4 linked regions of the Schizosaccharomyces pombe genome follow. The gene in region 1 interacts genetically with each later gene. Each region holds a gene or a part of one and is shown in the gene's direction. Other genes may lie near its edges. The genes, in order: tpx1, pmp20, txl1 and trx1.

Evidence for each region.
Region 2: mutations in tpx1 (region 1) and pmp20 impair growth when combined (synthetic growth defect), as found in Schizosaccharomyces pombe (one study listed by BioGRID).
Region 3: of tpx1 (region 1) and txl1, a mutation in one rescues a mutant of the other (synthetic rescue), as found in Schizosaccharomyces pombe (one study listed by BioGRID).
Region 4: of tpx1 (region 1) and trx1, changing one enhances a phenotype caused by changing the other (phenotypic enhancement), as found in Schizosaccharomyces pombe (one study listed by BioGRID).

The regions. Positions count from the first base shown.
Region 1 is NC_003421.2:2,082,634-2,090,784, reverse strand, and holds tpx1 (thioredoxin peroxidase Tpx1), read left to right. Parts: upstream 1-5,065; 5' UTR 5,066-5,170; coding exon 5,171-5,749; 3' UTR 5,750-5,843; downstream 5,844-8,151. Other genes in the region: nuclear export factor sac3, read right to left, coding at 1-590, 627-1,166, 1,268-1,511, 1,733-2,239; BAX inhibitor family protein Bxi1, read right to left, coding at 3,108-3,908; SPOM_SPCC576.02 (hydantoin racemase family protein), read right to left, coding at 7,428-8,138. UniProt on the Schizosaccharomyces pombe protein: Thiol-specific peroxidase that catalyzes the reduction of hydrogen peroxide and organic hydroperoxides to water and alcohols, respectively.
Region 2 is NC_003421.2:115,395-123,147, reverse strand, and holds pmp20 (thioredoxin-related chaperone Pmp20), read left to right. Parts: upstream 1-4,148; 5' UTR 4,149-4,254; coding exon 4,255-4,725; 3' UTR 4,726-4,926; downstream 4,927-7,753. Other genes in the region: SPOM_SPCC330.07C (transporter), read left to right, coding at 733-2,235; protein new25, read left to right, coding at 5,301-5,570; orotidine 5'-phosphate decarboxylase Ura4, read left to right, coding at 6,573-7,367. UniProt on the Schizosaccharomyces pombe protein: May act as a chaperone rather than a peroxidase. Has no thioredoxin-dependent peroxidase activity. Shows weak chaperone activity.
Region 3 is NC_003423.3:762,653-771,150, reverse strand, and holds txl1 (thioredoxin-1-like protein Txl1), read left to right. Parts: upstream 1-3,660; 5' UTR 3,661-3,672; coding exon 3,673-3,896; intron 3,897-3,948; coding exon 3,949-4,597; 3' UTR 4,598-4,799; downstream 4,800-8,498. Other genes in the region: pre4 (proteasome core particle subunit beta 7), read right to left, coding at 681-1,469; DNA repair ERCC8 family protein ckn1, read right to left, coding at 1,870-2,594, 2,639-2,717, 2,766-2,883, 2,964-3,071, 3,135-3,282, 3,333-3,369; ubiquitin C-terminal hydrolase Ubp10, read right to left, coding at 4,898-5,880, 5,982-6,318, 6,367-6,555; 1-phosphatidylinositol 4-kinase Stt4, read left to right, coding at 6,922-6,929, 6,985-8,498. UniProt on the Schizosaccharomyces pombe protein: Has a role in cellular detoxification of alkyl hydroperoxide.
Region 4 is NC_003424.3:2,622,799-2,630,669, forward strand, and holds trx1 (cytosolic thioredoxin Trx1), read left to right. Parts: upstream 1-2,534; 5' UTR 2,535-2,658; coding exon 2,659-2,970; 3' UTR 2,971-3,057; downstream 3,058-7,871. Other genes in the region: dfg10 (steroid dehydrogenase), read left to right, coding at 1-692; oligosaccharyltransferase subunit Ost4, read right to left, coding at 1,142-1,240; SPOM_SPAC7D4.08 (uncharacterized protein), read right to left, coding at 2,244-2,534; dolichol-P-Man-dependent alpha(1-3) mannosyltransferase Alg3, read left to right, coding at 3,785-5,005; SPOM_SPAC7D4.05 (hydrolase), read right to left, coding at 6,575-7,021, 7,111-7,187, 7,223-7,385; autophagy associated protein kinase regulator Atg11, read right to left, coding at 7,791-7,871. UniProt on the Schizosaccharomyces pombe protein: Participates in various redox reactions through the reversible oxidation of its active center dithiol to a disulfide and catalyzes dithiol-disulfide exchange reactions.

The DNA.
Region 1 (8,151 bases):
GAACATAGTTGCAAAAACTAAATTGGTTTTTTCATGAACCCATTCAGTGTATAAGTTTTGCAAAATTTGACGAACTATTCGAGAGAGGGAATCAGATATGATTAAATTACCTACAGCAGATAAAGACTCGAAGGAAATAGGTTTTGGCTTATTTTTAATAGGTTTCACAGCTTCCTTATTTGAGGTGATTGAATTTTGAACAGGAGGAATAAATGTTTCCGTACCGTTAGTGGATCCATTTGGTAGGTTTGTGGGTTGGACTGACGAAATGTCAGTAGCAGAAAAAGGTTTAGTAGGAAAAGATCGAGGAGTAAAAACAGGAGCATTTACGTTAAATTTCCCATTAAAAGTACTAAGGTTCTTTGATACTACCGAAGTCTCAGGTGTATTTTTTTTAAAACCAGCAATAGGTTGTGGCTCTTTATTAGCGAATGGCAATGATAAAGGAATATTAGTTGAAAAAGCTGTGTTCGGAGAAACCCGGTCTATATTGTAACGAGAACCGTTTATAATATCAGCAAATGAGCGATTTTGAAGTTTGGACTCGACAAGTGTTTGTGAAAACAACTGTCGAAAATCAGGTTTGGAATCTTATGAGTTAGTCCTGTAATTTATAAATCACATACCATTAAAGAATGCTGTTTTATTCAGATTTATACTGAGCTCGCCATTATCATCAGAGACTTCTAGTCCGTAGTACCGAGAAAACGAAGCGGCTTGCTCTACAGTATCAAAATGTAGTATACGCTTCAAATCCCCACAGGGGAAATTGGCATGGGCTGACATAAATGCCTTACGCATGGCTTTTAGAGCACCTTTTCGAATAGACATGAAGTGAGATTCTAAAAGACAAGCCATTAAATATGTTACGGCAGGAGATTGAACCAATTTGAAAAACCGAGTGTAAAGATTAGGACATGCTTCGGTGTTTCGCGGAAGGATATGACCAACCCGCTCATTATTTTTTTGCGCCAGCGCTGACAATCGAAGAGCTAGCTGCACTCTTTGATCGTCAAATATTTCTATTGGTAGGATTTGGGATTGTCTGACAACATCCGGATCACGTAAATGCGTTATAATTGCATAACTTCGGAATTCTGGTTCATTTGGACATCGAATTTTAACTTTTCTTAAATCATCATAAAATTCACATAAAGATTGCAATACTAAAAGGTTAGTATGATAAAATATATGAAAAGAAAGAGTGCTGCTAACTAAAATGCTCATAAAAAATTCAAGTCCCACAAAATCAGCATTTTAAGTTTACTACCTTTTCGTAACTGTTCAACTTCTTGTTGAGCGCTAAATTGTTTCTTCTCACACAGTTGATGAATACATAATATATGATATCGGGCTATACGTTCGTGACAAGCAACTGCATCCAAATCACGACAATTCTGAAGTGTAAAATCCTGTCGAATAGATCGAGTACGGTCACGTACAAAGAAATGTGTATTCTCAAGTGGATCAGGACCACAGACTATTTTATCAACCAAATAATCGAGCGATTTCTAAGTCATGTGTGAATAAAAATGCAACTGAGAAAGAAAAAATAGATAACATCCTAGAATCGCAAAATGAATTATATAAATATAGAAAGGTAGAATTTAAGCTGGAGGCTAGAATTCATATCGAACTCAAATCTAGTAAGAACCTTTGAAAAGCTTTTTGGAAATACATATATAAATAAATTTGCGAATCAAGAGGATTAGTAAGAAAAAAAAAATCAAACCTTTAAAACTGGAGGTGGTCGAACATCTGAGGGTAACGCTTGCTCATTACCGGCCGCAGGACGATGAAAAGCCTTTACAGCAAGATTCTTATCGACACGACCCGTTTCTGGATTAATCTCCCACCGTTCCAAATTATTTTGATATTCTCTTTGTTCACGTTCATATTCAGGACACATATCGGGGCAAGTACCAACAAACGTTACGGCCTCATCTAGTTGTCTTGGTTTCGTAGGATCATCGATTAAGCCATTTTGGATTGCTACTTCACGTTCCTTCTCACGAAGACTTCTCAATTCTTCGAACCTGTTTCCTTCTAACGTAGAAGAGAACCGTTTTTGTCGACTGTCCTGTGCTTCCACATCCTCGAAAACACTAGTATTATCTTCGTCGACTGAAGTTTCTCGCGGCGTTGTTTCCACAGAGGCGTCTTTCCAATCCTTCTTCGATTTCCCTCTGTTATTAGACCTTTTTAATCGATTATTACCAGTCTCATTCCGCTTTTCCATCAACAATGGATTATTTACCTGACGACGGTAGTTGGTAAACTCAGTGCGTATATAACTGAAATGACAATCTCATATAGTGAAGAACAGCGTAGATGTAATAAATTATAATGCTCACAGTAACATACGCTATATATACTATACACATTTATGTAATAGCTACAAAAACAGCTTTTTCTATTGAAAGATTATTAGCAAAAAAATCAAAACATTTAACAACTGAAAGTTTATGGTCCAAATAAAACAATCATCAATCGCTTACATCTTACAGTTGCCCGTGTCAGTAAATAACTCCCACTTAACCTCAATAACGTTTACAAGTATCTACTTAAGATCTCTTCAGATCTAATAGTATTAAATTCAAATATAGAAACCTTATATTCAAACAAACACTCTCAACATTTTTTAACAGATAGCATGAAGACCCACATGAAATAACATTCACAACAACCATTTAGTTTTAACGGTCACCGTTGTTGGAATTTACCTTTTGCAACAAAAAAGGATTGAAAACGAAATTAAATACAGCGTTTCCATTCATGCTGCTAAAAAAAGGAATGTCGTTTGAATTCATCGATACGCTCGTTTGGGTAGTAAAAATGAGCAGATCGAGATCATTAACAATATAACAAATAATAAAAAATAATAAAATTCATAGCAAACATTATAATTAGCACATACATGGTTCAACAATATACACAGTATGCAACGGCCATGCCGGGAATTAATCCCCTGTCACTTTTAGACCTAGGTGAAGAGAAAAAAGAACCGCATTTTTTAAAAAAAAAAAGCATCGTAACGATGACAAAGTGCAGCAATCAAAAAGTTGACAAGGACTTAAACATGTACATGCTGCCCAGTGGGAATTAGTTTAGTTATTGTCATTATTTTGGAGCATTCCAAGAATCTGCAAAATACGAATAAATAAATTGATGAAATCAAGATAAAGCATTAAACTCGACATAATAAACTCCTCCGGTGAGTAACGGTGAAGGATGTTGTATGTATCAAACAAGATGTAACCACAAAATACAAGTGTTCCGAAACCAGCAAAAGCCATGTCTATAAATGGCGTAGATGGTACAAAGAAAAATATTAAAGGGGTGAGGATAAGGGACCATAAAGAAACGTATAGAAATCCTCCAAGTCGGCTGAAGTCCCATTTTGACTGGAATGTAAAAGCCGTTAATGCGACAAACACTCCAAGTGTAATGAAGACAGCTTCAAGAATAATACGAGCGCTGAAGAATGTGATGGCGGTACCCAGAGTCAATCCTTCAAGTGCAGTGAAAAGGAAAAGAAAAATGTAATTACGCGGATAGGAATACGGCTTCATAATTAGACCAAACAAAACAACCAGAGAGATGAAGAAGTTGAGAATCAAGAACCATGGGTGCATTTGAACCCAAAAAGAAAAAGCAGGATGTAGGTAGAAAATGCCACCAAATAAAGAAGTGACAAAAAGCTGAGCAGTGAGAATGGCATAAACCTTTCTTAAAAAGGCCATGCGAATGCTTTTGGCGCATTCAGCAACGGGCGTAGTATTTTTAAATTGATCAACAGCGGGATTTTCGGTAGCAGATTCATTATATTCGGAATAGGCGGGAGGAGCCTGAGCCAAATTTGGCACTGAAGGATCATCCTGAGGCACAGATTGGTAATTTGCAGGCATGATTGAAAAACAAAAGAAGATACCTTAAAACACGAATAGCAAATGGATAGTTGCGAAGGAAATGCCTTATATATAATAGAATTAAGGTTTTTTTGTAAGCAATAAATTGAGATAAAAAGAAAAAACCTGTAATTTACTGAAATATGAAGGAGATAATAAAAAACACAAATATGTTTAGTCGATGGCGCTGCGTGGTAAAGGGGAAAGTCAGTAGATAAATAGTAGCAAGATTAAGTGATGGATAATATAGTGATCGTGTTCAATTACGTTAAAACAGAATTGAGGACCCACGTACCAAAAGTGGAGGACAGACGATGCATAGAACACTATGGAAATTGCAAATGACTTTTACATGAACCATTGCAACGTTTTCAAGAAATGTCGAGAACAAAAGAAGCTAATAAGGAGGCGTAAATGTAATTTGAAGAGAGGCAAAGCAGTGTAGGGTTCAAGCCGTTTTCCTCAGAAGAGTCAATTTTATAAACAAGACTGGCAAGAAAAAAACAGCAGGAAACGTGGAAACAAACACGATGAGAAAGATTGGATGAAACCTGAATTACTTATTATTTCGTAAATCCTTATATAGTAATATAACCATCTTTGTCCACTACAACAAAAAGGTGGCCACTTCGAGGTATAATACTAAGCCGGAGGACCGTGGAGCAAAATGTCAGTACATTACCTTTTGTTTTCGTCGTAAATCTTTTTGTAAGCTTCTTTAGAAAAAGATGATCCTTCTTTCTAAGACTCTCCTTTTCGACTATGAAGATTCACACCGTCTCTCCTCTACAAGTGCAGTAATAGTTTTTTTAATTCTACACACCGCAACATATTTCCTTATTTTATTTATTATAGCTCGTTCCTTTTCGTCAATAGGTCCACCGGTGTTCCTTCATTTTCTGTATATATTGATAGTGTAAGCACAAGTCCAGAACGGAATTTATCGTTAACAAGCGATTTGCATTATCGCCTAATTATTGACTAAGCTCACTTGCTTACTTCATGCATATCTCATCGATTGGGTGGATGTGCGCTTTATGTAATCTAGAACGTTATGGAATGATCGGCGTCTCGTCTAGTCGCAAGCTTGGTATGTCAGCTGGGGCTGCAGATCCTGTCCTATATAAAGGGACATGCCCTCACCGCTTCTTTTCTCCAGTGTCTTTCGATACAACATCCAAATAGTACGATTCTCTTTGGGCTCAGCAACTGTCTTAACTTGTTCCAAACCTACCTAAATTCCATATCATTAATCTATAATCATGAGTTTGCAAATCGGTAAACCTGCTCCCGACTTCAAGGGTACTGCCGTTGTTAACGGTGCTTTCGAGGAAATCAAGTTGGCCGATTACAAGGGTAAATGGGTCTTCTTGGGCTTCTATCCCCTTGACTTTACCTTTGTTTGTCCCACTGAGATTGTTGCTTTCTCTGAGGCCGCCTCCAAGTTTGCTGAACGTAATGCTCAAGTCATCTTGACCTCCACCGATTCCGAGTACTCTCACCTTGCCTTCATCAACACTCCTCGTAAGGAAGGTGGCCTTGGTGGCATTAACATTCCCCTTTTGGCCGACCCTAGCCATAAGGTTTCCCGTGACTATGGTGTCTTGATCGAGGATGCCGGTGTTGCTTTCCGTGGTCTTTTCTTGATCGACCCCAAGGGTGTTTTGCGTCAAATCACCATCAATGATCTCCCCGTTGGCCGTTCTGTCGACGAGGCTCTCCGTCTTCTCGATGCCTTCCAATTCGTTGAGGAGCACGGTGAGGTTTGCCCTGCCAACTGGCACAAGGGTTCCGATACCATTGACACCAAAAACCCCGAGAAGTACTTTTCCAAGCACTAGATCAATTTTCTGAGCAAGTGTAGTCAACGAGAGTCAAACACGATTTGTCTCGTATCTTTTTAGATTAGTTTATGAATCTCCTTTTTTGCCTATATTCTCAAAGTTTGAGGTAGTAACTGTGTGTGTATCATACTATACCATCGTAATGTCTCGTGAGGCAAGGGTGGATTGCGTAAATTAGCAGAGTGCGGATCTGCTAAAAGGAAATTATTTAATTGGGACGTCTGCTAATGTGCTTATTTTTCTCATTAATTAATGATATTTTCAGAAACGACTTTTTTAATGCATCGTATACATTTGTTTAAAGCTACAAATGTGTGGGATGCTGCTCGTAAGTTATATAACTATTTATAATTATAAATACTGTATAAAGTTATTTGAAGTCAACTTTAAGTATATGGATGAACTGGTTATAATGATTTGAGTGATTACATTGTGTTTTATTGAACTCGTTTGTATTATTATGCCTTTTGACAACATGACGACAATTCAAAACAAAAGAAAAAGGCAACCTATGTTTTAGTTTATACCAAGAAAATGGAACCTAAAAAAATTAAATCCTCTCATTGTTTTGCTTTGCGTCTATCGTTTTGTAACGCACCGACACGCACTGACATACCAAGTGACTTGCTACCTCAGATTATCTGGGGTAGACTTCGGTGGTTAAAAGAAGGTTAGTCCGTGGATTTCACTCCCTTCACCCGCATCTTCCTTATCAGGCCCAAAGGGAGTTAAACGAGTTACGCTCGTTGCGATAACATGTAAGCTACGCAGTTTGGTATCTGATTTAAGGATACGTAGAACTGCGGTGAGTTTTCCTTGTGGTCTATTATATTACAATACACAGGTTGTATAAGTAGCAACTGAGTATAGGTATTGTATTAACTGGGTTATAATGTTACCTATCACTAATATAGCTCATAACTGAACTGAGGAACGAGGTTCAGTTGTAACGCTATTTATAATATTTCTAAATACTTGTATCAACGGGTATCTATGTATATAGAAGGATAGTTACCCGTGATTATCAATAAACGGATCTTAGCTAGTATTCCAACATATGACATATAGTGATACGCAACGTAGTGTAGCATAGCGTAGTGTAGTATTGCTGACATAACGAGAATTTTCGAGATATAAAGAAGAATAGGTTTTCAGTTCATTCAAGTCAATATAAATGGATAGAGATACATAAAATAGAAATTTTAATTGTAGTCGCATTTTATTTTTTATTATTAGTAAAATAATATTTTACTTTGCCTCGTACCATATAGCTCATTCACAGCCTTCCAATGTTTCTAAACTGAAGAAGACTGGAAAAAGGCGAATGTAAAGAAATACAACAGTATAAACGAGATTGACTGCTTCCCAAAATGATTTTTTAAAAGGATGTTTGTAAATCTGCTTGTATCCAACACACTGGGCATACAGTGAAAAGTTATTCTTATGAAACCAATGTGTCAATACGCTTTGTAAACAATGACAGAAAAGAATGTATCAAGAGGTAATGGTTGTAATTATCACGTTATAGATAGGTATGTAATTATTGATATAAATCAAGAGAAAATGTATACGTATCCAGGAATATCAACCTTTGTCGTACACATTATTATGTGTGTGTATGTGATATAGCAGCATCAAACTGGTTTGCTAGATCTAAAAACATATGGACATCTCTTTATGGATACGTATAGATGCCAAACTTTGATGTATGAAGATTTTGACGAGCTAGGCCAGCAAGTAACTCAACAGCCGCATGTACACCATCAATGATGGGAATATTGGGACCTACGGCAACCTGAATCTGATCACGAATAGCTGCTAAAGCAGCACCACCTAAACAAATGACATCTGCACCCTTTGTGTTTGCCAGTTCTTGGGCCTTTTGGACAAGAAGGGTTTCACGCTCTTGTGAAGGCATTTGCGAAAGTTGCAAAACTGTGCGACCTGTAGAAGCAATGGCGGCCACTCGAGTGCGCGAAACACCAAAAGAATCGAGTAATTCGTAAAGCAAACATTCGGAACGATATGTACTTGTAAGGATGCCGATGCGCTGACCAACCGATAAGGCACTGAGGACAGACGCTTGCACAATGCCCATGCAGGGTAAAGCAAATGACTCACGAATCATGTCGACTAGAGGAGTGGGGGAATAACAGGCAACAGCTATAGCATCGACACCATCCAAGACACTAGGAGTTAGGGCTTGGAAGACTAGAGCAGCTGTCAAGGTTGCCTCTGTGATGGAGTCGATGACAGCAGCACCGGGTTGAGGACAAGTTAGAAAGCGCAACTTTACATCTGAAGGCACTAGGGGAACGAGTTTTTCTTCCATGGATGTTGTGATGAAGGTGGAAGAGTTTGGATTGATGACGAGAATGGTAGGCATGATGAGAGAAAAT
Region 2 (7,753 bases), 2.0 Mb from region 1:
TATTATCACAATCCCTTGTTAGTATATATATATCTATACCTATACATAAAATATCTATCAAATTTACAAAAATTATTTATTTATATAATTTGGAGTAAAACTTTAGCTTTTCATCACAATTATAAAATTGAATTTATCAAGTAAAAGAGTTTATGTATTAGTCGCCTAGAAAGATAGTATAACTTTAATCAGAGACTCTATACCAGTTGTAGATATACGACGAAAGATTTAACAGGAAACAAAGTAAATTAACTAACTACATCGCTAATGAAAAGCAATATAATATAACAAGCATGCTATAGTCTAAATTATTTTCAAGTTTGATATCCAACATTGCAGACAAACCAAACTCTTTATAGACATTTGGGGTTCTTTTAGCAAAAAAACAAAGGAAAAAAAAGGCAAAAACAAAAATATTAAAATTATCATTTCTAATACAAACTATATGATGTTTGTCGCCTAAGTTACTAAAATAAGCGACTAGTGAAAAAATGAAAAAATCCAAACACCGAATTTCGGATACTCCAGTGCACTTACTACAAGTAAGCTAAAATAACTTTCAGTCCGAAAAGATTAGATACTAATTAGTTTTGCACCATAGCTTAATAGCCACGTGCAAGATTCAATTACTGGATCAAGCTATCGAGCTATACTATAGGCTTCATCGGCATAAAACTCCTTGAATCGCTTATCTACCAAAAAAATTTTTGATTATCTAGGAGTATTCCACAAATGGAGCCATCACAACGAAGTGGCTCTTTTAGTAGTATTAGTCGTCGCCGATCAAGGGTTGACAGTAGGCCGACTTATTTTAAGGTCACCTCTAAAGATCTTGGTTTCGTAGACCAAGTATCCGAAGAATATGAATTTTATACCTATCCAAAGAAAGCATCAGAAGTCGAGTCGGTTACTGAAACATTTCAGAGTAATCGTTCAAGTCTTGTTCCAACTTATCCTGTAGACGAAAATGCCAACAAACTGCCCCCAAAGGTATCCATTGCGTTCATATTGATTAACAGCTTAATGTCCGATATGTCCTTGGCTGTGGCCTTACCCACGTCGGCCTCTTACACTCAAAGCCTTGGTGGTACAAATGCATTTTCAGGTTTGGTAATTGGGATTCCCACTTTAATTTCGTTAATATTTCTTTATCCCATGCTTTGCTTTGCAAACCCAAAGTCGGCTAACGGTTATACTCTGTACTTCCGACCAATGGTAGTATCTTCGTTTGCTCACATTTTTGGCCATTTACTTTATTGCATGGCATATCGTGCCAATTGGATCTATCTAATTCTAATCGGGCGAATGCTGAACGGTATTGGGTTCACTACCTTCTTATATCACAAAAAATATACAACAGATAAGTTGCTCGTCGGACAAAATCGTCGAACATTCTTGGCAACAATGAACATCTTAGCGCAGACCTTAGGATTCATGGCAGGTCCCTTCCTTGGAGGTATATTAGCAAAAGCGACAATTCATTCAAAGAACGCTGTTTGGAATCAGTACACAGTGGCATCATGGGTCATGTTGTTTATGTGGTTTTTTTATATGCTAACTATCATATTCTTCTTCAAAGAGGTAACGGCTGACAAAAGCGAAAAAGTTTCACAACAAAAAGAAAATGATGATGAGGACAGGCCAAAGTTGAGTTGGAAACATAAATTTTTGCTTTTCTTTTTAGCGGAAGTGGCATTTATAGCATACTTTACCGTGAACGGCTACCAAGCTAGTATTTCCATTTACACAGGAAAACTTTATAATTACGATGCTTTTCAATCAGGAAATTTTATAGCATTATCCGCATTAATCGTGGCACCTTTTATTCTAGCGAGTTCATTTTTGTCTCGATGGCTCGAAGACCGACACATCATGTTGGGAGGCCTATTCTTGGGAATTTTGGCAGTAGCCATTCATCTAGTATTAGATGCAGTTCACAAGCTACCCATGCAAGTTTATTTTTTCTTGTATTCGTTGATGATTTATGGCTATAGCATTGGATCTGCGCCTCTAATTTCCCTTTCGTCCAAACAGTTGCATCCAAGGCATCATAATACCGCCAGCATAGTCGTACAAGTAGGAGTGTCTTTGTCCAATACTTTTGGCTCCATTTGTGGTGGTGCGATTTATAATATAACCACAGTTGGTTTCATTTCGCTTTGCCTAGGATTAGCAGCAGTTGTATACATGCAATTAATCTTTATGTGGGGATCCTTGAAATGCAAAACACATTAAGCAAAGATCCTAGCCATGATTATAAATGCTGGTGAGCGATCGACAATTTTTATTTAGAAAAGCTAATTTTTTTTTTTTTTGGAAATCGGCTTAATAACCTATGAAACCTTGAAACTTTAATGAATACCAAGAAGCTATTTTTGATTTTTAATTCTCCCTATTTGTTTGTTATTTGGTATTGAACAAATATTCAAATGAGATTCCATCGGAATGTATTTGACATATGATTTTTATCCATTTAATGTTGGGCTTTCCAATCCCATAGGACTAATATCTAGAAAAATACAATTTAAAAAATCTATGTAAAACAAATTTATGCAAAAAAATTGAAATATTAAAAAAACCAGTCTTTTTATGCTTAATATGATTCAATGAGTTTAATCTTTAAAAAATCTAAATTAATAAAAAATTCATTTTCATATTTCACTACAATTCTTATCGTATGTATTTTTTTACTAGGTAATAGTTTATATTATTATCATTATTATTATTATTTTTTTTTTATTAATGATTAAACGTACAAAACCTTTGAATTTTCCGTTAATCGTTCTTTGGAAAAAGAAAATGAGATTCTAAACATCTAACTCCGTTACTTGCATCATGAGAAAGGGAGAAGAACAAAATGTTAGCTACAATGAAAAAGGATTACTTTCGAAAATTCACTATTCCACATCCGTTTTCCCAAATCCATCCTTTGCTACTGATATACTTCATTATTATTGCACTGATGTATTTGTATATAATAACTCTTAGGAAACCCAAATTCATCCTACCTTCTAGTTCGGTAAATCGTATAAACATAGACACTTAGCTTACCATTAATGTCTTTTGTGATGTAATAGTCCTTGTTAAAACTTATAGCGATGCAGTACGTACGATATTTTGCATCTTTACTGTACCTTAAATAATTGCTGAATAGACACGTGGAATGTGTTTGTATACGTACTTATCAATTACCAGTCAGATGGTAGAAGCGGTAAAATCGTGATATTTGAGTATTAGCTATAAAATAAATTTTTCACAACGTTTCAATATATTTTAATACTCTTTTTAAAATTTTTTAGAGAGATTTTGACGAGCAATTGATGCGTGAGACGCGTTTGTCAATTTTTCCACCTTTCTCGCTCTATTCATAGCACTGGCTAATTGTGTCGCAATACCACGGAAAATTGATTTGACGAACACAAGTGTGGTCTTTGTGTTAACATTTCTAATTCGTAAATGAATTCGAGGACTCAAAAATTTGCGGTTCGTTATACCACGTCGGGGTTTGCGCCATTTATCTGTTCATAGATACCGCAAAGCAAATCGTGAGCAATAAATTTTGAAAAGGTATCTACAGTTCCGAGAGGTGCAGGAAGTGATGAATCGAATTTGATGAAAATTTCTCACCTATTTTAGAGGGGAAACTACAGTGACTTTCTTGAAAGCAATTAAACAACCTTGAAAATGAATCAAACTTTTTTCTTAACGTTACTGCTGATATTGATGTGAAAATTAAACAAGAAAAACATCATCACTTCGTTAAAACCTTAAAAATTCAAAATTTCAAAGGAATAATTAACACCCGGGCATGCATACTACCCGATAACGTAATCTTCTCTATTGCCATTTTCTTTTTCTTTTTAATAAAAATGGCTGTCTAGTAAACACTTTGTCTCAGCGTTTCTTGCCTTTTTACAACAGTCAAATACCGAATATCGCACGAACCATTGAAAACGCAGCTGTGCGCGGTCTCAGTGCCGGTTGGGATTTTCCACCACTCGCAGCCCACAAAGCTCTTCATACAAAGATGAAGAACAGTAAAGAAAAAAAATCTTCCATCCCGACAAATTTGGTGATTTGACGTCACCAAAAGATTCGTTTTTGTAGAAAGGTATATATATTAACGACATGTGCCCATTTGTCTTGATAATACTATCTTTAAACTTGAACGACATTTTTTGAATACGCCGTTACTCCTAAAGATTTTATACCACTTGCTTTAACTTTTACACAAATTTATTACTACTATTAAAAATGGTTGCTGTCGGATCTACTTTGCCTAAAGTTACTCTTTGGGAAAACAAGCCCGAAGAGGTTGTTGAATTCCCTTCTCAAGGCAAATTCATCATTGTCGGTGTTCCCGGCGCTTTCACTCCTCCTTGTTCTTCTCAAGTTCCTGGCTATATTGCAAATGAGAAGCAATTTGCTGCCAAGGGCATCAGCGGAATCTATGTCGTTGCCGTAAATGACGTTTTCGTCACCAAGGCTTGGAAGAAGTCTTTCGACGGTGGTGAGCAAAGTGGTGTTCACTTTGTCGCCGACTGGAACGGAGAGTTTACCAAGGCCTTTGATGCTGGCTTCGACGCTAGCGGTCTTTTGGGCCCTCTTCGCTCCAAGCGTTATGCCGCTGTTGTCGAGAATGGCAAGGTTGTCAAGGTTTTCATTGAGAACGAGGTCACCGATGTTGATATTTCCTCCGCTGACAAGGTCCTTAGCTCTCTTTAAATCTGATGAACTGTTGTACTAATTGTTTTGATGGGAATGTTTTTTTCCTTTAATGAACGAAACTTAGAATCAAAAAGATAAGCTCCTTATTTAAGGGCGTTTGAAATGATGGAGATAAAGCACTCCATATTTGAGTTTTTTTTGTCATTGTGATGATATATGTTTAGATTTATGAAATTTTATACACAATTATCTTAACAACTCATTGTTTGAGTACTAGTACAATTCTTTATAAGAAAGTAGATATGCTTAAAAAATTAATGTCAAGTAAAACGTTGAATCGATTACAATAAGTTTTCGTAACACGATTGAAAATCGGTAGAAGTTGAAATGGATATTCTAAGTGGTGGTATCAAAATAATGACTAGAAAGATGTAAGCACACCTTCAATGTATCATAATCAATGTCAGATGAATTTGGGTAATGAAAAACGTTGGCCACAGTTGGGGGCGTCTTCCTCTAGATGCTCGTCTTCTACAACCGTTCTTTACCTCAACCTTTAAATTTTCAAAATCTCCTTTTTAATAACAGTTTTCATTTTTGGGTTCTTTTTACTCATTTGTATTTCATCTTCGATGAAAATAGCTAATGTCTTAACTTTATCGTTTGCTGCAATTATTGCTGCTTCTTCCCTGGCGGTTGTAGTTAGTCCTATCACAGACAATTCCAGGGAGACAGCTTCATCCTCCATTTCTCAAAGTCCTCCTAGTCAATGGTCAAAAAAACAGTTAATTGAGTATTGTAAAAAAAATTCACTTAAAACTAGCGGATCTCATGAAGAATTGGTTATCCGTGTGCAAAATCATCTTCGTACCGCCTCTAAAAAAGTTGATGCCAGACCGTAATGACAAAACAGCTTGTATAGATTTTAATATGTTTTCGATGCTTACATAATGAGTGAGTGTCATTATTGAGGAATGCCATGTCAGATTTGACACAACTCAGAACTTATTAACTTTTTATGATTGGAACTTTTGTTTTGCCCAAGGAATTTTTAATGGAAGAAGTTGTTTTATAAATGATATTGAATTTATATCCACTCTTTTTAGCGCATTTGCATCTCTACTTTAGGTTCTTCTTTGACTAGATTCTAGGATGCGTATTGGATATACTGGTCTTTGAATCATTGTCGAAAAAAAAATTCATGGTTGTACCCATGAGCAAACTGCTTTTGTGGTTATCCATGTGCTTCTTTTGTTCAGCATCTATCTTCTTAATCGCATGGAAGATTTGATTTAAACCAAAAGAAATATTGTTAAACTTTGACAGAAGCTTTAAATTTTGATTCCATACATTAAATGGATAAAACTCCTGAAGCTTAGCTACAAATCCCACTGGCTATATGTATGCATTTGTGTTAAAAAAGTTTGTATAGATTATTTAATCTACTCAGCATTCTTTCTCTAAATAGGAATTTGTTACTTAATGGAGAAAAAAATGTTTCGATTTACCTAGTGTATTTGTTTGTATACTCACGTTTAATTTCAAACATCCATTCTATCTTGTGTAATTTTTGGCATGGTGAAAAAGATAATCAGCCTTATAATCTTTACAAAAGTAAGAAATTCTGTAAATAAGCCTTAATGCCCTTGCTTTAAATTAAAATGGTTCTTTTTCATGATAATGTTTGCACTTTGTGAATATATTTTAGATAGTTCTGTGAGGTATAATTAAGATGTTTTAGAGACTTATACAATTTTGTCTTTATAAATTCTTAATTGATTTTACCATCCCAGTTTAACTATGCTTCGTCGGCATCTCTGCACATGTCGTGTTTTCTTACCGTATTGTCCTACCAAGAACCTCTTTTTTGCTTGGATCGAAATTAAAGGTTTAAAAGCAAAGTTATGGATGCTAGAGTATTTCAAAGCTATTCAGCTAGAGCTGAGGGGATGAAAAATCCCATTGCCAAGGAATTGTTGGCTTTGATGGAAGAAAAGCAAAGCAACTTGTCAGTCGCGGTCGATTTGACGAAGAAATCCGAAATCTTAGAATTGGTAGATAAAATTGGACCCTATGTCTGTGTTATCAAGACACATATTGACGTTGTCGAGGATTTCGACCAGGATATGGTAGAAAAACTGGTGGCCTTAGGTAAAAAGCATCGTTTTCTTATCTTTGAGGATCGCAAATTCGCAGACATTGGAAATACCGTCAAGCTACAATATGCATCTGGTGTGTACAAAATTGCTTCTTGGGCTCATATCACAAATTGCCATACAGTGCCAGGCGAGGGTATTATACAAGGCCTCAAAGAAGTTGGTTTACCTTTGGGACGTGGTCTCTTGCTTTTGGCTGAAATGTCTTCCAAAGGCTCTTTGGCTACTGGTTCCTACACAGAGAAAACCTTAGAATGGTTTGAGAAGCATACCGATTTTTGCTTTGGCTTTATAGCTGGTCGTCGATTTCCTAACCTTCAAAGCGACTACATAACTATGTCCCCTGGTATCGGCTTGGATGTTAAAGGAGACGGGCTGGGACAGCAATATCGTACTCCTGAAGAAGTGATTGTAAACTGCGGTAGCGATATCATCATTGTTGGTCGTGGAGTCTATGGAGCTGGTCGTAATCCTGTTGTCGAAGCCAAGAGATATAGAGAAGCTGGTTGGAAGGCATATCAGCAAAGACTTTCTCAGCATTAAAAAAAGACTAATGTAAAATTTTTTTGGTTGGTTATTGAAAAAGTCGATGCCTTGTTTGCGTTTGTTTTCCTAGGCGTTTTATGTCAGAAGGCATTTAGAATTAGTATACAAGTACTCTTTGGTAAAATTTTATGTAGCGACTAAAATATTAACTATTATAGATAAACACCTTGGGAATAAAAAGTAATTTGCTATAGTAATTTATTAAACATGCTCCTACAACATTACCACAATCTTTTCTCTTGGATTGACATTGAATAAGAAAAGAGTGAATTTTTTTAGACTTGTAATGATAACTATGTACAAAGCCAATGAAAGATGTATGTAGATGAATGTAAAATACCATGTAGACAAACAAGATAAAACTTGGTTATAAACATTGGTGT
Region 3 (8,498 bases), on another chromosome or scaffold:
GTTGGAAATTTTCACCTTTGCCACTGTGTGCGATCGTTTGGTTTAAAGAATGTACCATTTAAAATGGCCTAAGTATTACCCAGTTCATGATTATAACAAAGTATAGTAGTTAAATATTATAAAATGCTTGAATTCTCAATGAAATTATGTTTTCGCTATGAAAGAACCATGCTACATATTCAGTATATATAAAGGAAATACAAATAGCTTGTTTGTAAACTTTCTACCGTTACCTAATTATTGTTGGATTTCTTACAGACTATTAGGTCAAGCGATTAAACCATAAAGCAACTCATTGATGATCAATTTACTTCCATCATCTTTTTAAGGTAACTTACTCTAACTAGTAAAAGTCATGTTAGCTCCAATACGTAAGTTGAAACCAAAAGCAAATAAAATGCAATTCAGTAATCATATAGAGTAAGTTGCAGTGCATGTTAACCAATTCATTCATAAAGTATCTAGCGGATGCTTTGAGAGAACAATAAACTCGAGCTCGTTTATTTATACCGTTTACAATCAGGGAAAAAATTATATCTTTTTACCATTCGATTCACCAAAATGAATCAATTAGGAAGTATTTCGTGAGCTTAAAGAATGCTTAGTATCTCAAAACGCATTTTCATCTCTGTTGTATCGCATATCATTTTGTTATTCATGAATGCTTTACTATGTGCAAATTATACGGTTTGAGTCCCGTAACCATACTGCTTTTCAGCAAATGCCCATTTGGAGGAGACAGATTGATCAGTCTGGAATTCGATGCCCTCAGGTGTAATGGTAGCAACACTAAATTTGTTTAAACTTCTAGCATCCCTATAAAACAAAACACGCATACATTCATCGATAGTAGCACGAGCGCTTTCTTTAGAAAGCGTTTTCCAGCGATCATCGTCAGTGGCTTTACGCAACATAGGAAGAGCCAAATGCATGGCAAACCCAGTTGCGATTGCCGGGGCAGAATAAGTAGTTCCTCGAAGATCTGCAAAAGCAACATATGGTTCCTTATTTTCCCCATCCACCCCGGCTACAATGAGTTGATTCCAATATGGGTCAAGTTTGTTTCTGCGAGCGTACAACACCTTCGACAAGTATTCATGAATATACGAAGGTTGTAAGGCATAGCCGTCACCATAATTTCCTTCTTTTATTTCTAATTTTTCTAATAGGCGCTGGATTTGTTGATAATCCGAAATATCCCCACCGGCGCCAACAATCGTATTATCACCTACTTTTGTCAACCGTTCAACATCATAAAAGCGCGCTAATGATCCATAGGATGCCAGGTTATCAGCAGCAATCATTACACCGTCTGCAAACTTCAAAGCAAGGACTGATGATCCAGTTACTATCGGTTGAACAGTGCGTTGAATTGGTGCATCGGTTGATTCTTCAACTTCCGAGCCACTAGGAAAAAAAATGTCTTTTTGAGGCTTTCCCCAAACCTCTGTTAATTCTAAAAAACTCATTTTTTGCAAATTAAAACTGTGTGGTTCTTACTAAGTTTTCGAGGTTGATGTCGCTTTATAACACATAACCACCATGCACCTATTACGAAGACAGTGTTTGAAAAGTTTGTAGTAATTTTGAGAAGGTTGCTTATTAATAGCTTTCAAAAGTTTTATATTTGCTATTCTAGATTTATTCTAGATACATTAACTTTTAATGATAAACTGAAGCAACCTATGTTTGATAAGAAAAAGTACAGACAAAGTCACTTTATGGGATCAAACTATGATGTAGAGTTAAACTAATAAATAAAATATAGAAAACTTTATCTTCCTAAAAATTGTGCAATATTCAATGGAATGGCTCAAGTCTAAACTCCGTTGGTCAAAGTTTAGTTAAAATGAAACATAAGCTTAGCAATTATTGATAAGTCACTGGAATATTAATTAAAGAGTCGTATACTTCTTGAATTATGTTTCGTCTTGTTTCTAAATCCGAAATCTTCGTAGGCGATTTTAGAGCTTTAGGAGACCACATGTAAATGTTCCCATTCATATCACCAGTAAAACACTGTTCAAAGTCAGGACGATAGGCAGCACAATTAATACGTTTTAAACTGTGGGTTGAAAGTCGGCGCACAAACGAGCCTTCTAACAAGTTCAATAAGGCAAGAGACCCATCATCGTTGGGGAATAACACAAAAACATCTGAATCCATAGAGGGTTGGATCATGCAAGGATGTACCGCGAAGGAAGTAGTCTGGTTATGAATAATAGGTCCAAATTCTCTCAATGTGTTTCTTCCACTTTCCATATTCCATACTCTTATTCGATCGTCGGTACCACAACTTGCCAAATATCGAGCATCTGAAGTCCAAGCTAATCCATTAACGGTGCCGTAATGAGATATATTTGTCTGGTTACTGGGTAAATACTTATTATGTAGATCCATACATGCGAAGCTGGATGATACTTTACGAATGTCCCAAAGTCTGCAAGTGCCATCTGCAGAGCCGGACGCTAACACGAATTCATTCTTAGGACACCAATCCACCGCAAGGACATTACCCGTGTGTCCAGACAAACTATGAGTATAACTACCACTTTGCATATCACAAAGCCGAATAGACGAAGACCGGTAGGCGGCTATCGTTAGATGAACAATCTCAAGAATGAAGAATATAACGTACTGGCAATTAAACAATGTGATGCAATGGGCGACCATGCATGTGAATAAATCATGTCCTCCATAGTAAAAGTGTAAGCTTCCTACCAATATTAGAACATTGGTTAATTTGCGATTTCTACTTTTATTACCTGTAAAGTAGAAACATCCCAAACCTTGAGCGTATGATCGAACGACGAGCTAGTAAAAATACCATTATCAAACGGAAACCAATGCAAATCTGTTATTCCAAACTTATGACTCGTTCGACTAAAACACCGCAAGTTAGCTATTGATCACTAGTGTATATATTGAAATTGTCATAAACTAGGTAGAAAATGAATGCTTACGCAGGAACTGCATTTAAGGTATCCAAAATTAAATCTTCATCTTCCTTTTGGTCAATATTTTGTAGGTCCCAAACATTGATAGACGAGTTGGCTCCTCCAGAGACCATGCTGTCAATAGAAATTGTTAACCAAAAATTGAAAGCTTTGATAAATCAACGATATAGGTCATACAGCTGATGAATTGTATTATCAATGCTTAGTGCATTTACGGATCCTAAAATGCCCGCACCGTGTCTACGTTTAATTTTCACATCCGGATTCAGCGCTAACCGTTGAAGACGATGCTGCAGTAGTTGCCTTCGAAAAGAGCTATTTGGCTCTACAAATGTGAGACTTGAAATCCTTATATCACATAATCAATTGCATTACCTTGGCCCCATTCTCGTGCCAATAAAAAAGAATTCATTCGATTTCACCTAAGAAATAGACTCAGATGCTACAGTAAGCAACTGACAGCTTAAAACAACCCGGTTTTTAAACCATGTATAACAAATTAAGTCTAAATAAAATTACAGCTAGTTTAATATGAGCGGTAAATAATACTGTCAATTAATCAACTTCTATGTTTAAATAGCAAACTCAAAGGTAGTTTCCAGGAAACAATAATAAAAAAATATGTTTTTCGACGTTGGCTAGACGCACTACTAATAACGGTCGTGGTGTACGAGATGGTATTGGCAGACGGTTTATAGAACTCAACCTCAACCATATGTCAGTTATTGAAATTAGATCGTACCAGCACTGGATCTCAACGATCCCTAAGTCCGGATATCTTGCAGTTGATTGCTATGCCGATTGGTGTGGTCCTTGCAAAGCAATTTCTCCCTTATTTTCACAATTAGCATCGAAATATGCTAGCCCCAAATTCGTTTTTGCTAAAGTAAATGTAGACGAGCAACGTCAAATTGCCTCCGGGCTTGGCGTCAAAGCAATGTATGTGTTTACCTAATCCGTCACTGTACCATTGGTTTTGCTAACATTTTAGGCCTACATTTGTTTTCTTTGAAAATGGCAAACAAATTGATATGCTAACTGGAGCAAACCCACAAGCTTTGAAGGAAAAAGTTGCTTTGATTTCCTCAAAAGCCACAGGAACTGGCGCTCTTGCTTCTTCGTCATCGGCACCTGTCAAGGGTTTTGCTAGCTTGCAAGGCTGCATTGAAAATCCCCAATTGGAATGTCTAAATCAACAAGATGATCACGATTTGAAAAGTGCATTTAACAGTAATCCTTCCTCATTTTTAGAGTCGGATGTTGACGAGCAATTAATGATATACATACCTTTTCTTGAAGTGGTAAAGGTTCATTCTATTGCAATTACTCCTGTTAAGGGAGAAACTTCGAGTGCTCCAAAAACCATCAAATTGTACATCAATCAGCCCAACAATCTTTCTTTTGAAGATGCTGAGTCATTTACTCCAACTCAAGTCATTGAGGATATAGTTTACGAACAAGACGATCAACCTACAATTATTCCCCTTCGTTTTGTTAAATTTCAACGTGTCAATTCTCTCGTTATTTTTATTTATTCGAATGTCGGAGAAGAAGAAACTACTAAGATTTCTCGCTTAGAATTATTTGGTGAGCCTGTTGGTGATTCAAGTAAAGGAAAACTACAAAAGGTCGAAGCTTAGGTGCTTAACAATTTGTTAACTAAAATCATGACGGTTTACGAATTTACCTTTATGAAAATCTAGTTTCGTATACATTACTCGACCAATCTGGTGTCTTGATACCAAAGAATACTACAAACCTTTCATTTGAGCATTGTAATTGCTGACTACTCACGAAATGGGAATATAAATGGATAATCTAATTTATATAGAATAAAGATTTTCTAAGCGGTAACGTTTGATAAATAAAATGAATGTTTTTTAATTTTGTCTCACGTAGAGGAAATTTTGTGAGAAATCCAAAAATTCCACATATTAACACTATGATGACCTTTCCCAAAGCTGAATAAAACTTTCGCCTAAACGAATCATATCGCTACTGATTTCTTCAACATATAAGTCTTGAATTTGATACCATTTATTGGTAGAGGGGTTTCGAATTTGAATTCGGAAGTTATGAAATTCTTCTTCAGCATGTGTCACGGACTCATGTATAATATTAGCAACGAGGTTGTATTTCGTAGAGATTTTCGGATTTGACTGGATAAATGAGTCATCAATAAATGGGCTCATATCAAAATCATCCAAAGGAAATGTCACTATAGTTTGGTTTCTTTCCGTAAAGTAATTGTTTTTCATAAATCTTTTGATGTGAAATATAAAGTATGGAGGAGCCGTCATTAAATGAAAACGCCGTCGCATACCTGCAAGTTCTTGGGTATGTACCCCATTATATTTGTTAAGTATCTCTTTTAATTCTACTTGTGGGATGATATTACCTTCAAACTCATCTTGGAATATGGGTTTCGGAGGTAAATCAAGAGTAAGGTAAAGAAAAGGGACGACGTTAGTTTGTATAACCCTATCACCAGTAAACACAACTTGCTCTCCCTTTTCAGCATGTTGGCGAATTTTCTGTGATTCAATACGTACAAATCCTTGAAAGCTGTAATGTACAATAGAAGTAGGTTTTGCTATGGTCGACTTTTTTCCACCAAGGCAATTGTGTAAAGTATTTAAAAACCAGGAAAGGAATTCTACTGGATCTTTTTGTTCATTAATAGAATATTTTTTGTGAGAAAGAACTGTAACCTCCTGAATGAGTTCTTGAGGAGAGACATGGCTCTTGAATGCTTTATGGTTCCAAAGTTTACGAATAAGGATTGCCAATCTTTGGACAAGTTGAGGGCAATTATCAAAGTTTTTAAGCAAAAAATAATTTCGAAATGGCTTAACATGGGCCAACATATGAATCACCACATTAAAGTAATCGTTATTTTTTATATTGTTCATGCCAACAAAACCTACAAGTGTTAGAACTTAAACCATTAAATAAAATGAATCCTATCACTTTTTCATAGTAAGCTTTATAAAAGAAAACAAAACAATTCCCCACGATACTTACCTGGAACATAGGGTTTGAGCATTAAATCGTAACTGAGCTGTGGTGTGTGATCTAGTCTTTGGACTTCTAGTTTCGTAAAAGTAGGTCGCATCACATAGGCAATATCTTGTAAAGCGCTGGATTCTACTTGATAAGATTCCGGCAAGACATAAAACTTTAATGTTGAGCAATTTACAAAAACATGATGATTTTCGGTGAGTGCATGGAAATAAGCATGTGATGAAGGTCCACGACCCTGGAAATATCTTCCACAGACTAAGCAAGCATATACACTAAGATTTGTCAAGGAAACGGAGCAAACCTTTTCAAAATCAAAATCTAACAATTTACGATTGATCTAATTAGCGTTAATTATAGAACAAAAATGCAGCAAAATCACTCTTACAGTGTCCAAATATAGGTTTTGTGATATTATTGGAGTTGTTTCGTGTTCTTCCATCTCTTTAGACGCAATATCATGAACATCTTCCATGTCTTTACCCAATTCGAGTTTTTTGCGTTTTCCATTATCAATATTATTATCTTCTTCAATATGGCGTTTTAAAATATTATTTTTATCCTTATTTTCTGACATTTTTGAAGCTTTACCATCTATCGATAACTTCAGTTACTAAGTCGTATGGAAGTATCTTCCACATAATTGCACTCGTCTAAGTCAACAGCAGATCACGCTCTTTCAAGTCATTTTCTACTTTTACTAGCTTTCTCTTTCTTATTTTCATATTTAATGTATTAAAGGGATATCTAAATACTATTTCAAGCCGGAGATTTCACATTTAGACCTGGTTCTCTGCTTCTAAAGCCGAAAGCGGTTATTAGTAGATTCTTCCGTAACTTTCATTTCATTTGGTTGATAGAATCTATCCCATCAAAATTATAACTTATTTTTAATCCTTTTTGATTAGATTTACATTACCCTTGTAATCCCCTGCCAAATATTATGGATTGGTAAGTGGTTTTATTTTTTCCCCTTTCGAATGCACAGTCTACTAATTATTATTAGCATCGATAAATCAATCAGAAGGGAATCTTTACGAAAACTTGGCTGCCTTCCCGATCACGGTTGGAATCTGTTCGTACAATCAAGTAATCGTTACTCAAAATTGCTTGAAGCAGATTCTAAGCTATTTAAGGCCCAAAGAATTGAGGACACTGTCTTGTCAATTTGTGAAGTTACTTTGGAAAACAAAGCCTCTGAAAATGCCTTGACTTTGTTCCAACAGCTTCGCTTTTACTTGCTGAATTATCTATTTTTGGAAGATACCTCGGAGTACAAAAGTGTTTTATGCTCACTTGATGAATCTGTCTATCCTAATCTTTTACCACTGACTGCGAATATTTGCCCATGTATTCTTAAGGCGCTTTTAGCGCTTGTCAGGCAGCATAGAGAATTATCTTCCGATATAGTGAAGTTTTTGAATAGCATTTTTTTGGCACTAACTCGTATTCTAAATACTCCTCATTCGTCAAATAATAATCCAACTCATACTAAAACGACAATCTTTGAGAAAGTGTTTTATGCCTCCCACCTTGGTTTCTTTTTTGAAGAAATAGCCGATGCTTGCATATCAGCTTTGCCGCAAGACGCGTGTTTATGGGCAATGGAGGTTTGTAACACGATACTCGTCTCAGACCTTCCGTGTAAATTAATAGACCTTCATAATGATTCTTTTCTTCACCATTCCAATTACTATGCTGGGTTTGGGTTGAGCTATTACCTTTACCTTTCATCTATGAAAGCATACATCAATTCTTCTGGTTGCCTTTGGTATGAAGATGCTACCTCATTTTGGGATATTGTGAAACATCGCCCTTCTTCTCCGGAGGAGAAGCCGTTTTTAACGCAATTCCAAAGCATCTTAAACCTTAGTGATAAGTTTTTGTCAAAAACTGGGACCTTGAGACTTCAAGAGAAGTTGGGTACTTCATGCAATTTATTTTTTGTACTCGTACTAAAATTGGCACTTCTATCCTCCTCCTACATTGGTTTTGTTCCATACACATATAGTGATTGGATTAATGTGTTGTTAGGTTCCATATCTGAAGATCCGGAGCTCTTACCTCATTTAATTGAACTTATGGCTTCGTTGGCCTGTGTTTTCCCCACTCATTTTCAGTTTGCTATGAAAAGATTGCGTTTAATCGCTATTTATGCCCCCCGCTTTGATGATGGTAATGTGACTTATGCTCAATTAGCCTCTAGAAAGCTTGCTCAACTTTTCAACTATTCCTCAAGAGATACTGCTATCACTTCAATATACCAGTTTGCCAACTTGCTGTCTCCTGCTGACACTCCTGATAGTTATCTTGCAGCTCCAAAAGAACGCCTTTCTATTAGTGACAATATGTCTAGTTCTTCTTCACAAACTGCAACGGTAAATACAATTTCAAACTATTTGAATGTTATAGATTCTGTTCGTGAAATTGCTTTGACAGTTAACGATGAGAAAATTTATGGATTAGCTATTTCTTTGTTGATACAAAAGTTCTCAAGAAAATTCGACTCGAGGGTGAGTA
Region 4 (7,871 bases), on another chromosome or scaffold:
ATAATTTTGGGTTAAAGCCTCCTCTAATTGCTACCAAGCTTGAAGTACCTAAACGGTGGTTTTGGCATTTTTACGCGTTTATTTCCCTCTTGAATCCATTGTTTACATTTTTTATCCTAAATACCAATTTTCCTATTCCTATATTTAAAAATATCAAAGAGGACTTGATGTACAGTAAAAAGCTACAAGTACTCCTACTAATTTATGAAATTCACACGCTGCGTAGATTATATGAGAATCTACGTTTTCGCAAAAGCGGTTCGAAAATGCTTGCTGGTCATTATTTATTGGGATACCTGTTTTACACACATACATTCCTTGCATTGCTTTTGTGCGGTAGAAGAAGTTATGAAAATACAATGTCAAGCATGCAATTTGTTGGTTTGGGGATTTACGCAATAGGCAGCATTTGGCAGAATGCAAGTCATGAACATTTGATTGCTCAAAAAAATCATTCGCAATATCTAGTCCTAAAAAAAGGATGTTTTAAATGGATAACTGGCCCCCATTACCTTGGAGAAATCATTGTTTATACTGGAATAGCACTGATTGCCCAACACTGGTTAATATGGCTAGTCTTGGGATGGGTACTTTGCAATATGGTAGCAATCTCTTCTTCTTATGCTTGTACGGTCAAGAACAAAGAACAAAGTTTGGACTTTCGGTGGACTCTTATACCTTTTCTATACTAAGAAAAGCGTGCCGTCAGGATACCGCGATTCTTATTGATTGTGTAAAATAACATTTATTAAAAAAAAAGATAATTTGTATTAATATTTAGTCGGGGTTTGAGAAGAGACGAACTTTAAAGATGTATTATTATTTTATGTTGCACTTTAGTACAAGCAACAGTAGATGATAAAAGTTATTTGGCCAGCATGTAGAAAATAGGGAAGGAAGGAAAAAGAGATAGGAAAATAAGAAAAAAGTAATACAAGTGTATCCAATATTTAACGGAACAAATAATAAGACATATTTTGTTTCGTAATATAATCATTTTGATATGCAGGTACAAATTCCATTTCACAACAATACCAAAGGTAACTTCCCTTAATTGAAAGAGTGACTAATTTAAAAAACGTAGACGAAGAGTGCAGCTATAAAGGTAAGTTAGACAAACAGACATGAATCTCTCTTTCTTTTATGCTTGAGGACGTGAAAGGTAATGGTAAAGGATGATTAAGAGCATCATGGAGATACCAAAGGTGGTAACGATATTTTGAAGTTGAACGTCTGTCATTTTTAAGATGATCCTTTGTAGGAAATGAGTTCTGATGCTTGTGCTCGGTACAAGTTGGGAATACAAGTATTTAGGTCCAAGCCTGAATTGCCGTGCATTCTCATAAAGTAACGAAGCACGGTTGCTACTTGAAATGTGAATATCAGTACTGCAGTGATGAAAAAGACTGCCGGTATATAAGGTAAAAGAAAGAAGAAAGAAAATTCATTTTACGGTACTTTCGAATTCTTTAATACATATTGCTGCTCAATAGCTTCTGGATGTCTAAAATGTGAATGCTTCGAAAGAGCGTAAAAAAATTTCAAAAAAAAAAATTTCTTCACCATCCCTATAATTGCCGTTGATTAAAAAAAAAAAAATGTAACTTTCTACTTTGTTAAAGCCAAAGTAGCTGTAGAAAAAGTGACTGTGGATGCGTATGTAAAAGGTTACCCTCTCAAGCTGAAAACTGCATTGTACTATTTCGCCATAACGTGAATTTGATATAAAGCGATGGTTCAATACACCGTTTCTAGAGGAAGTAGCATGGAAAAAACATAAATTAAAATATCGTTCATCGTTCTAACGAAAGTTCAGCTACCGCAAAGAATTATTTGACTGGCGATTAACTTTTTTTTGATTTCAGAATTTCAAGTATATGTGACACTGTTATAAACTGCATATTTATACTCCTTTTCCAATTTCTACCGCCATTTATATGTAAAATGGATTTTGTTAACAGTAGGAATATCGCCTCACTATTTTACATTTTTGTATGTCTTTTAATTTGTAATTTCATATCAGTACCTCAGTTGTTATAACAAAATTTTCTTAACATTACTTCGACTCCACTAACTAGATCGTGTACAGCAAAGAAAAGAGCACGCATAATCTTTCAGCTTACCAAAAAAAAAGAAAATCTTTACATTTACATACTTATTATTTTGATGCTTTAATTGCTTATAATCTCATGTTTGTCGAGAATCCACGATTAACAAGCTGACATAACAACAAGATGGCTTCTTTAGCTTTGTTTACTAATTGTCAGGTTTCCGATTTGTGATTCGTTGTAATTCCATGAAGTATTACTCCGAAATGCGTTATAGAAAATTAGGAAACGAATTGGTAGGTTGATGGCAGAGAATGGCACCATATCCTCGTTATTGTAGCTCATTACCTCATCGTCGGTGATTGCACAATGTACGCTCTCGATCTTTCTACTAGAATAAGCGAACTTATAAATTACACATTTTCTCAATAATATATAAACGGGCACGTCGCACCATCGTATAAGTATACTAGAGACAAAGTTCATTTGCACTCCTGAAGTCAACGTCTTTTGAATTTTTCAGGTTTACTTCTGTTTACTCGTTAAATCGATTTTTTCTTTATTTGAGTATATATTTTTAACTTAATTTCCCATTTCATTTATATACAACATGGTGAAACAAGTCTCCGACTCTTCTGAATTTAAATCTATTGTTTGCCAAGACAAGCTTGTCGTTGTCGACTTCTTTGCTACTTGGTGTGGACCTTGCAAGGCCATTGCTCCTAAGTTTGAGCAATTTTCCAACACTTACTCTGATGCCACTTTCATCAAGGTTGATGTCGATCAATTAAGTGAAATTGCAGCTGAAGCTGGCGTTCACGCTATGCCCTCTTTCTTCCTTTACAAGAATGGTGAGAAGATTGAAGAAATCGTAGGTGCTAATCCTGCTAAATTAGAGGCTTCTATTAAGGCGAACCTCTAATTTACGCAATCTGATAGTTAGTTGTTATGAACTTGTAATACAAAATATTTTTATTTAACAAAAATAAATGTTTTGCTTTTCTTTGTGTATGCACCGTTGTAATTTATTGGGAAAAGTATTTTTGTCCTAGCATCTTTTCTACTGAAGTTGCAGAACGGCGATTTGCGTACAATTATCGCAATAATAGTAATGTGCCATCGACCAGGCGTAGTAATCTAGTCATGGGCATTTTTCAGACAAGCTAGCTAATTTGCGACCGCCTTGAGCATTTGTAATATTTAATACGACTTTTTGGTTAGGCGTTCGTGACTCTGTTCTACATTATTCTCCTATCCTTCTAAGATAGACATTGGAGAGTGTATACCAATTTGGAATGATACCATTTGGATGAATAAATATCCTTTTTGATTACATGCTCAAATACATGCTACTCTTTATTTATAACATTATACAATTAACCCAACGAATATTTATGTTGATCTGAGTAGCAAACATATTTTTGTATTCTATTAGAATAAAATCTTTAATATTCTCGTTAAGTATTGTTTTATAACAATCAAATTTCACATTTATGGAGTAAAATCACAGTAATGATTACGCTCCGTCGACATGTTCTTAACACTTACATCCTAACATACATTGTTCGTCTAACGAGTTTCATTAAAAACACAATTTTTCTTAAACAAAAAGGAGTTCCTTTCTATGTGAAAGAACTCTACCAATTTTCCATTGTCTATAATAAGCGTTACTCTTAAAAACCTGGGATCTGTCTACATTATTTGCTAAAGTCTCGTATTTTATCAAAAGTTAACCAATGTCTTCAGTTGAGACAAGAAATTCTTTTAATCCTTTTCGGGTATTATTTGATCTTGGTTCCTATGGCTGGTTACATCCTTCAAGGCTCCTTCTGTTGGAAATTCCTTTTGTCTTTGCTATTATTTCCAAAGTTCCCTACACGGAGATAGACTGGATTGCTTACATGGAGCAGGTGAATTCATTTCTATTAGGAGAAAGAGATTATAAATCTCTTGTCGGATGTACAGGCCCTCTGGTCTACCCTGGAGGGCACGTATTTTTGTACACCCTTTTGTACTACCTTACTGATGGAGGGACCAACATTGTAAGGGCGCAATACATTTTTGCCTTTGTATACTGGATTACAACGGCTATTGTAGGGTATTTGTTTAAAATTGTCCGCGCTCCTTTTTATATATATGTTTTGCTTATACTTTCAAAACGTCTACACAGTATATTTATCTTACGTTTATTTAACGATGGATTCAACAGTTTATTCTCTTCCCTTTTTATTTTGTCTTCATGCAAAAAAAAGTGGGTTAGAGCTTCAATTCTACTAAGTGTCGCTTGTTCTGTCAAGATGTCCTCCTTGCTTTATGTCCCAGCTTATTTAGTTCTTTTGCTCCAAATCTTGGGGCCCAAAAAGACCTGGATGCATATTTTTGTTATTATAATTGTACAAATTTTATTTTCTATTCCCTTCCTTGCCTATTTTTGGTCGTATTGGACTCAAGCCTTTGATTTTGGCAGAGCATTCGATTATAAGTGGACAGTAAACTGGAGATTCATTCCACGCAGCATTTTTGAGTCTACATCATTTTCCACATCAATACTTTTTCTTCATGTTGCTTTGCTAGTTGCATTTACCTGCAAACACTGGAATAAACTGAGCAGAGCAACACCATTTGCAATGGTAAACTCCATGCTGACCTTGAAGCCTTTACCAAAACTCCAACTCGCAACTCCTAATTTTATCTTTACTGCATTAGCAACATCCAATTTGATTGGTATATTATGTGCAAGATCCCTGCATTATCAATTTTATGCATGGTTTGCTTGGTATTCACCATATCTATGCTATCAAGCTAGTTTTCCTGCTCCGATAGTAATTGGCTTATGGATGTTACAAGAATACGCATGGAATGTTTTTCCTAGTACTAAACTATCTTCATTAATCGCTGTATGCGTGCCGCTTATTACTATTTTGAAGCTATACACATCCGACTACAGAAAACCCTGATCCCTCTTTACTAATACGCAAAATAAACTTTATAAAAAGCTTAAACACTTCACTTTTAATTACTCATGGTTTTTAAAAAACAAAATTTTTAGTTTTTTCATTTGTGTACCGACTATAAATTTTTGAAAATTAACATCTTATAAAAACGAACATTAGTCTAATCTTTTAATTCGTATCTTTATGCCGTCATAATTCGATGAATATTCTCTTCAATGAAAATCTCAGGGGATTGACAGATTGATAAAAATTCATACATTTAATCATTCGACACTGAAATGAATTAGCACCAGTGTTTTTATCAAATGCTCATTATTACTTTTAAAAAAGCGTTTCTAAAATATAAAACAAACAGTTGCTAAGAACACAAGTGCTTTCCGCACAACTATTGCAAATATTAGAATAAACAAGTTGCTGATTTTATAGCTTGCACCATTGACAGTCACATTTTACTAAGGTTTCATTATATATTTCAGTTCCCTCGTTAAAGTAATTTTGTGATTTGCTGTTTATTTGCATAATGTGAACTTCTTAAGGATACATTCGACCGCTGTAAGCGCCTCTTGTCTGATGTAGCGTAGTATGGATTATGAAAAAAACATATTTAGCGTAACTTGTAATAGTTCTAATAAGCTAATAAGTAAAATCAACTTCTACCAGCTTCAACTGCACTTCAAAATATATTTTTCATAAAAGGTTTAGAATAATTGCTTTTTAAGGGAATGACTATAAACGCAGGCATACATGTGAGAAAGCAACTTTTATCTTACTATAGCTAGTGCAGCGTAATAAATATTTCTTTATATCAGCATATTGGCATTTCGAGGGAATAATGGTGAATATGTAAATGTCTTAAAAATATTAAATATAGAGCCAGTACTAATTGTTAAATAAAATTTAGATAATTTAAAAGCATAAATCCCTTTAGCTAAATAAATGCTTTATCGAATTTGCTCGGTTTGCGTCAGTTCTTCGAATTTCAATATTTATGAATAGAGTATACACTCCATTAAAGAAAAGAATTTTGTGAGCTACTCTGTATAGATTTTGAACCCGTAAAAACAGCAAATGCATAACTGAGCCCTAGATTGTTGGTCTAACGATTATTCTCGTAGCATGGATGCTAGACTTGGAATAACGCGACTAGAATGGTCATTCAAATTAGAAAATAAAAAGGATTGCTATTGCGTTTATCGGCATATTCTTCATTTTTTAAATTTTCGTTAGCATGCATATGCATTAGCCATTTCATGTTCATGTCTTTTCGGAATATTCATTGTTTACTTATTTGCGCCCTTGTATAATGAAAACAACAATAGATCAATCTCTAAAAAATTAAAAGGATCACATAAATATAATTTTTCTTCAATGTCAAAAGCTAGTACACAAAGGAACAACAGAGCTTTGTTGAAAATATAATCAATTTATACATTTATTAGAATTCTGACGAAATATTCATTTATAAGAAAAAATTATCATTTCAAATGTGAAACCTTTATTGTCACATTAGGTCCTTGAAGAAGGGGTCCAGATATGAATGTTGGATACGCGGTAAACCTGACTGCGTTTATTTTACTTCTGTTCAAAATATTTCAGGAAATTGGTTTTTATGTCACAGTATTCAGCATTCCATTGGATGTTTCTTGCTGCTGAAACATCTTTTATTAAATCATCCCCTAGGTGCATACATTCTTCTGGTTGAATCTCCTGTCCAAGAAGTTTAACAGCCTTTTCCATAGCATAATCAAATATTTCCCTGCTTGGTTTTTCAAATCCAACGTCGTACGAAAACGCATATATATCTATTAGATGATCTATGCCGTAATCTTCAAGCACTGTACGAATTCTTTCGTCTGTGTTTGAAATAATACCAATAATGTATTTCCTCTCTTCTTTATTTCTCTTAAGGAAATCAATCAGAAGAGGATGAATCGTGTAACCCGTCTTTTTGGAAAAGTAACTCCATAGCTCTTCAGCCATTTCTGCAGGAACAGGAGTTGGAAAAGAATGTTCGATAACCTAAAATTGTTAGCATGTAAAGGTTTTTTAGAAATCAAGAGATTCAATTCTTTACAAAACACAAATCTCAATGAAATTCAGACACATACTTTGATCCACCAGTCATGAGGATTTAATCCTGACTTTTTTCCATGATTCTTATGCTTTTCACTGAAATCCTTGAATGCTAAATTATTAGATAAATAGAAACCAAAAGCTAACCTTTATTACTATTGTGTTCAATTTCATCAATAGTTGCATGAACTCCATACTTCTGAGCGACTTCGCTGTACACAATTGGAACAGGTTTACTTAAATGAAGGATTGTTCCAAAAGCATCGAACGTAACCAACTTGATCTTTTGGATATTTTTTGAGGGAATCATAATTCCAGGTTGTACTTTGATGGGACACACTACACAAAGCAATTTACATAAGGTACTCCTTACCACCAGTGCGTTGTTCGGTGTGATAAATAATATTTGCAAATCACTTTTATTGCGAGCGATTGCGTTCTACATATTAAATAATATACGAATAGATTAAAAGTTCATTAAAAATTTATCATGTTACAAGACGAGAGACACGCTACAGCAATAGTAGTCGTTAATTTACGTCGGATACCTTACTAGGCGAGACCAAAAAACAAATTTCAGTAAATAATGCCATAACAGATCAAAACCTGAAAAAATAGAAGTATGATAATACCAAATGTCTGTCATATAGAATCAGTCCCACAAATACAAGCAAAGAAAAAGCAAGTGAAGGTATAAGCTAGGTCACATAATGATTTAAAATCTTTCATCGATAGCTTCCACTAAATGCCATATTGTACCTGAAGGCAGGCGAAGCCATTTATCCGTCGAATCATC